Linked DNA regions of Coturnix japonica. The protein of the gene in region 2 purifies or fractionates together with the protein of the main gene of each other region. This does not show direct contact. Links are inferred from orthologs where the notes say so. Each region holds a gene or a part of one and is shown on either strand. Other genes may lie near its edges.

Region 1 (3,500 bases), on a different chromosome or scaffold from region 2:
AACCATCTCTAAAGATCAGTTTGAGAAGAAGAAGAACGACACGCTCGATCCTGAGCCGTAAGTAACCAGGCCATTTGTGCTGTTAGGGTCACTCACAGCTTTCACTTGTGCTCTAACCAGCACTTCAGAAGTGAGAGAAGGAATCGAGATCTCTTCCTTTTTCTCCCACCTCTGCCCATGCAGGCAGTGAAGCCTTGCTCTGGAGTTCATAGCACCACGTGTGATCTTGGTGTCTGCCGATGGTACCAGGATCTGTTTCAGTTGCCATTCCTCTTTATGTCAGGCTGAAATAGAAGTCTTAACATTTGAGTGCTGTGCTCTTCCCCTCATTATTTGGGTATTTACAAGTATCCAAAAGGAAGGAGGTCAGAAATATGGGTACATATCTAGCAAAAGGGATTAATTTGTTTCAGCCTTTGATTTAAGAGGGTTGTTTTGTTCCTTAGTTTAGAATAATTGTTAGTACCCTACAAATAAAGAGCAAATTCACCTGAGCACTTGGCCACCGAAAGGGGCATCGTTCTCATGAGGTTGTTGGGAAAGTCACGTGGGCTGTTCCTGTAGCAGCAGTGTTACGCTTCCTGCTGTCCCTAAGTGGCTGCAGCAGGCCTTAATCTTATGCTCGTTTGTTCTCTGGCAGCGTGATCCTCTTTTCTCATACAGGTATTAGGCAGAGCTGCTCTGCCTTTTACAGGCAGGCTGCTGAGTTCACCATTGCGGTGGGGTCCATAAACATTGTGGCAGCCCAGGCAAAAGAGAAGTTTATTTTGGAGTATCATAAAAAAATAAGTAAAATCAGAGAACTCCAGTGCAGACCCATGCAGGCAAAGGCGTGTTAATACGTGTCCTCTTGGCATGGTTAGTCATGAACGACTTGCTTTTATGTCTGCAGTGAGTTGAGCAACCATTTTGTCAGCCTGTGGTTGGTGCAGTAACCAACAAACTAAGTCTGTAAAGGTGTTGAGTTCTGCGAAGCTGGGAAAAGTCAAAGCTCTGGTTGGAGTAAGATGGGATCATAGATAGGATCATAGAATCACCAGGGTTGGAAAAGACCTCAGAGATCATCCAGTCCAACCATTCAGCCATCACCACTATATCCCACTAAACCACGTCCTGCAGCACAACATCCAAACATTTATTGAACACCACAAAAAGGGAACTCAGGAGTTCACATCTGACACTTGTAGCTACTAAACATATGATGAAGAGCAGCAGAAGGTCGGGCTGTTGTTCGTTTTTCTGCTGAATTCTGGAAAATTACCTGCCTAGCAACAAAAGTGACGGGCTGTTCCTTTCCCTTCTCAGGTTTGTTGACTGCAAAGAGTGCGGTCGGAAGATGCACCAGATCTGTGTATTACATTATGATATTATTTGGCCTTCAGGGTAAGATGTTTGTTCGCTTTCTAAGCCTCATATGTTAAAAGTGATGTTGTTTCCATAATTAAGATTTTCTGTGTTTGCTTTTTAATACACATCACTGTCTTTTAATCGCTGAGTATGAACAAAGTATTTGTGAAGTTTTGCATCTCTGGTCTCATTTCAGTAGTTTCAGATTGAAAAAGTACATGAAACAAACCTGTTACATACTCAGATTTCTCATGAACAATGGGAGCTGATTGACAATAAATGCAGATGTAGCTTTGACAGACTTAAAGCAGCTCAGGAGGGTTTAAAGTCCCCCAAATGGAAAGGCCAAATCCAGAGAAAAACACCTTGTATGTTGATGGTTACAATGATGGGTTTGCACTTGGAGTTGGGTGTAGCCAGAATTAGACTTGTCAAGTTTTTGGCACTTGTATTTTGTTCTCTCCAGGTTTGTTTGTGATAATTGTCTGAAGAAAACTGGTAGAACACGTAAAGAAAACAAATTCAGCGCTAAAAGTAAGTCTGGTGTTTCTATTTCTGTGTTTGGTTTTCATTCTCTCTGCCAAAGGATTTCTTCCTTTGTATGTATTTGTCATATATTGGCTTTCTAATTGATGCTGCTGTCATGATAGATAGTACAGGAGTATTTGCAAAATGGGGAATAGCGTCACCTGAGGCTTTGCTGGCTGTCAGTATTTTAAAGACCTGATCCTTATGTAGTCAGCCTTAATGCTGCTCGAGGCCTTTGGCATCTCTTTGCCTACTTTTCTATGACAAAAAGAAAGCAAAAGAAACAAGAAGAGGAAGAGGGTAAAAAGGGGCACCAGCCCTATGATCATCTTAGTGGCCTGCTCTGGACCCGCTCCAAGAGCTCAGGAAGGATAATGGGGTGCAGTGGGGGATATGGCTCACACAGCATTATCAGGTTACCGTAATCAAAGCCGTCTCTGGGGTAACCTGCCATGTGAAATAGTATTGTTGAAAAGATGAAACTTACTCTCGTTCAAGACAGATGAAGGTTGTAAGAGAATGTTAATGAAATAAAGAAATAAAAATGTCATTGCAGGTAATCATTGTGAATAGCTGCCTTTCCTTTGATACGCTGACTTCACAGTGTATTGATTTAGAATCTTACAGGTGTGCAGTTTTTCTGTGACAGAGCTTGAAAATGTCTGAGTAACCAACATGTAGCATAAGGTAGTTTTGTTCTTGGGGCATCTGGACTGTTGCTCACCCAGTAACAAACGTTCTCCATTGCTCCCAGGCTGCCTGGAAGCCTGATATGCTGGTGTTGGTGTGGAGACCTGTATCAGATTTGAGCTACAGTTTGAATTGGGTGCTGAGCTTTCATGGGAAGTGTATGTTAAATGGGCCTGAGATGTAAAATCCATATGGTGGTGTCATCTCTGCCCAGCAGCCGGGTCGTGGTGTTGGTAGGAGAAAACATTTGCAGTGTCTGTAAAATAAGCCCAAGAATCTAAAAATGCAACATGAAGCTGCCTTTGGTTGGTGCCCTTCCTGAGTAATCTGCCCTCTGCTGTGCTTTTGGTTTGCATGGGAGGGTATGAATACAAAGCAGCCCATTTGGGCTATAGGAATAAAAACATGATTGTTTTTGTGTGGAGGTAAAGCCAAGGAGGAAAGCAGTGTGAGACACCTTACAGACATGGTGTGTTGTAGTGGGCTGACCCTGAGCTTCACAGCAATTAACGTGTGTGCTGCTGTCTTCTCCCTCTTCAATTCCAGGGCTGCAGACCACGCGCTTAGGAAACCATTTGGAAGACAGAGTGAACAAGTTTCTGAGGCGACAGAATCATCCTGAAGCTGGGGAGGTCTTTGTCAGAGTGGTAGCAAGTTCAGATAAGACAGTAGAAGTTAAACCAGGGATGAAATCCAGGTTGGTTTATTAATTACACTGAATGATGTCTGCAGTGTTCATTATGAGGTTTTCCTGCGTAAATATGGCAAAACTGTGGCACTTTGCACCTTAATCCCTTTGTGCTTCTTTGGGGGTGCTGCATGAGCAGGCAGCTTGTTGGAGGTAAGGAAAAGCAGTTTGCAGCAGGTGAACCTGGAGGAGGCTGGCAGTTGTGAACTGTTTGTTGGGCATGGAGGGGTGTGCTGGGTTTGGTTGT
Region 2 (4,017 bases):
TTCTCTTTATACGGTACATGGAGATGAGGAAGTTGTGCTATATAATTTAAAGTGACTAATATTACTAGCTTGGAGATTTCACTTGGAGAAGTGTGCAAAGGGTAAGGAGATGAAAGCAAAGCACTGTGGTATGAGAAACATAATATGAATTTTGTTCATGATTTTTCATAGGATGCAGATGAGAGATGGCAGCAGGTTGTATTTACTGCTGATGTAGACTTTTATTTCGATGAAGCTATAATTAGAAATAGAGTTTCCTGTTCAGAATGCCTTCATTTCACCTCTGTGAATTCAGATCCTAGCTCTGTTACATGATTTTAATAGCAGCGAGACAATCCAGCAGCCCAACTGCTTTGTTCTGTTGGTGTGAGATACAGGAAGATCTATCAGTTCTGTGGAGCTGTTTCAATGAGATCAATCCTTCTTTGTGGCTTTTGTTTCCAAACATTTGTTTCTGTAAGTCTTAATGTCTGCTTGTGTGTACCTCATGAATCCACATACAGGTAACTTTCCTCATGCTCCACATACGTCCAAACCACCACAGTTCCTTCCATTTATAGCCATGTTGACTGTTAAATGTGTTAGCTCCAGAACCACTCGAGTTAATTGTTGTATGAGCTGTTTTCCTGGATGTTCTACCATTGTTACTCTTGAAATAAAAGCAGAACACTGCCACATCTCTCAAACACACCTATTATTGTCTTATGTGCTTTGTTTAGCAGCTCTTTCACGGTAGCCGGGGTAGGTAAAGTTGTCATGAAAACAATTAAAATTACAAGTTGTTGAAATAGAAATGATTGCTGATTCTGTTGTCTCAGCAGCTATAGGTACATTAAAGCAGAGGTTGTACTTCAATCCATTATTTTTAGTTAAAAAAAGATCTTAATACTTGAATTCCGCTGTCTCTGAGAGAAGCAGCCTTTAAATAGGTATGTTTTATATGTGCTTTAAGAGGGCAAAAGCAGGTCCAGCATCACGAGGCTGATGCTGAGCGGCCAGCGGGTCCCCTGCCAAGCACTAAGTGCTGGTTCCTGTAAGTGTTTCCCCTTTTTCCTCACAGCCCAAAATAACGCCTTAGTGCCGGTAGCGCTTGGCATCAGCTCAGCGCGATAAGGGCTGTGAGGGGATGGATGGATGGAGGCTGAGGCGCCCTTAGTGCCGCCAGCGGGCGCCCAACCCGTGCTGGGCGGAGCAACCCAGGCAGGAGCGCGGGGGCTGCTGGGCCAACCCCAAGATGGCGGCGGGGCAGCGGGGCGGAGATCGCGGCCCCGAACGGCGGCTCCCCGGCTCGGCTCGGCTGTGAGGCGCCAGGCGGCCTGTGAGGAGGGTGTGAGGGGGAGAGGAGGGACAGGCGGAGAGTCGGGAGCGGGAGGAAGGACGAGGGCGCTCGCCTGTGAGAGGGCGGGCCGGAGCGGCGATGGCCACCATGGAGAAGCTGATGAAGGCCTTCGAGTCGCTGCGATCCTTCCAGCAGCAGCAGGTGCCGGCCGTCATCCCCGAGGAGCCGACGCTGAGACCGTGAGTGAGCGGAGCGGGACGTGGGGTTGTGGCAGCGGGCGGACGAGTCCGGAGGTGCCGCCTGTGTTTGTGGCTGTTGAGGTGGCTGCAGGTCTCTGGGTGAAGGTTTGTAAACGCTGCAGCCTTGTGAACTTAAGCCTTGTTTGACTCAACATGAGCCAGCAGTGCGCTCTGGCAGCCAGGAAAGCAAATGGGATCCTGGGCTCCATGAGGAGAGGGGTGGTCAGCAGGGATAGGGAGGTGATTGTCCCTCTCTACTCGGCTCTTGTGAGGCCCCATCTGTTGTACTGTGTCCAGGTGTGGAGCCCTCAGTACAAAAAAGACATGGAGATTTTGGAAAGGGTCCAGAGGAGGGACAGGAAGATGATCAGGGGGCTGGAGCACCTCCCCTATGAGGACAGGCTGAGGGAGTTGGGTTTGTTCAGCCTGGAGAAGGTTGCGGGGTGACCTCATTGCAGCCTTTCAATACCTGAAGGGAACTTACTCCCAGGAGGGGAGTAAACTCTTCGAAAAGGCTGATAATAGCAGGACACGGGGAAATGGTTTGAAGTTAAAAGAAGGAAGATTTAGGTTGGATGTTAGGGGGAAGTTCTTCACTAGGAGAGTGGTTAGGCCCTGGAACAGGCTGCCCAGGGAGGTTGTGGATGCCCCGTCCTTGGAGGTGTTCAAGGCCAGGTTGGACGGGGCCCTGGGCAACCTGATGTAGTAAAGGTGTATGTTTGGTGGCCCTGCCAGGCAGGGGGGTTGGAACTACATGATCCTTGAGGTCCCTTCCAACCCGGGTCATTCTGTGATTCTGTGAAAAGATCTTAAGTTTAGCTTAAAATCTAGGATTTGTCTGTCTTTAAGGAATGGATGTAGATAACTGCTTATGGCAGGCTTTGCTTGAAGTCTTGCGTTGTCACGTGTTTTGAGCTCCAAGAGGAAATAACACAAATGTTTCTGCTATCTCTTTGTGTCCTTAGATATTAGGGTTGGAGGCACTGAAAAGATGTTTGTTCCTATCTGCGCAATGCTCTGGTTTCAAGTCAGGGAACCTGCAGCTTTGCTGGAGGCCAAGGAGCTGTTCAGTGCCCCAGTGCTGCCTGTCGGCTTTGCTTTCTCTAAAAATAACTTTTATTGAGCAGGTGAAAAGGCACTAAGGACTTTAGTGCACTCGGTAAGTGAGTCACACTGTTGCTGTTTCTCCAGACACGAGGGAGACAGGAGGAACACAAGGGCTGAGGAGCAGGTAGCTTCAAAATTGACAGTTTCAGGTGCTTTTGGCAGAGCTGATCCACAATGGAAGCTGGGCTCTTGGCCACCTGCTCCCACAGTACGGTTTGAGACAGATGCCAGCTGGATTTGCCACGGTTCATACTGCTTGGACACTCTCACCTCAAACACTTTCATTGTGTCATTGATACTCTTGGGGACACAACAGATGAAAAACCTTATTTTCTTCATAAGCCAATTGTTTTCATATACCTCAGTGTTTACAGGGACTAATTGCTCTTTTATTTTTTGATTGTACTATGATTTTGCATGGCATGGAGAATAGGTGGACGTCTATTTCCAGTCTTTACTGTGCATAGCAGAAGAAAATCTAAGCAGATATTGCTAGGATAGATCATCTTATTTGAAAAGAAAGGCTTGAAAATAATTTGTGATGCTTGCAGGGGGATGTTATGGTTGATTTGGGGGTTTGCATTTAGTCATACCAGAATCAAAGCGCTAAAAAATCAAGCTTGTAATTGTCCTAGTTGACTTTGTTTTTTCCTGTTTAAAAATAGACTGGTTGTTTTCAGAAAGCTGATAGTATTGCATGCCCCCAGGAGCTTTACCAATTCAGAAAGGGCACTGAGCTCCATAAAAGCCTATGAAACGATATTGTGCCAATCTTCGTTGGAGTTTCCTGAATTGTTAGTGAAATACCAGGTGACATCTTGAGCTGAACTCCTGGTGTTGGTTGTGTTTTCCATCCGATGGGTTAGAAAAGAGAAATGCCTTCTTGTGTTCTTTGCACATAGGGACCAGCGTTCATCTTAATTGTGATCCTGCACAGATAACCCTTAAATATTTAGCAGTGCTGTATGCTAACAAACTACTCTCTCCTGATGTGTAATATTTTAAGATCACGGAGGCTGGAGCTTAGAGATGGGAATTGTTTGCACAAATGTCATCGTGACAATGAATTTTGAGATCTTGATAAAATAATATCCTGGTTTTACATTTATTATTAAGGTATTGATTGAATTCAAACATTGGTAATGTGAGGGTTCTTTTCTCTCCTTTCCTCAAGGTTTTAATCAGCAGTAATCACTTATTGTGGTTTTAGTGTGTGTTACAGGCATGTCAGGTTATGGCCTCCTCTCTTTCTGTGGTTGGTTTGGCCTTCTATGAATGCTCAGATTGAGCTCTCTGTCATCATTTTGCTTCTACAAGCTTCTGCTGAGGCACCTTCTTGTCTTCCATCTCTGTTTTTTTGCTTTTTTGGACTCCTGAATTTTGGTTGGAGTT

Evidence for each region. The genes of interacting proteins can lie anywhere in the genome.
Region 1: the proteins of HTT (region 2) and CREBBP purify together in Homo sapiens (affinity purification with western blotting; 5 studies listed by BioGRID and IntAct, with this or other methods). This does not show direct contact. The link is inferred for Coturnix japonica from reciprocal best matches to the Homo sapiens genes HTT and CREBBP.

What each region holds. Positions count from the first base shown.
Region 1 is NC_029529.1:11,019,037-11,022,536, reverse strand, and holds part of CREBBP (CREB-binding protein), read left to right. Parts: coding exon 1-57; intron 58-1,305; coding exon 1,306-1,383; intron 1,384-1,813; coding exon 1,814-1,881; intron 1,882-3,111; coding exon 3,112-3,262; intron 3,263-3,500. UniProt on the Homo sapiens protein: Acetylates histones, giving a specific tag for transcriptional activation. Mediates acetylation of histone H3 at 'Lys-18' and 'Lys-27' (H3K18ac and H3K27ac, respectively).
Region 2 is NC_029519.1:74,630,080-74,634,096, reverse strand, and holds the start of HTT (huntingtin), read left to right. Parts: upstream 1-1,217; 5' UTR 1,218-1,417; coding exon 1,418-1,518; intron 1,519-4,017.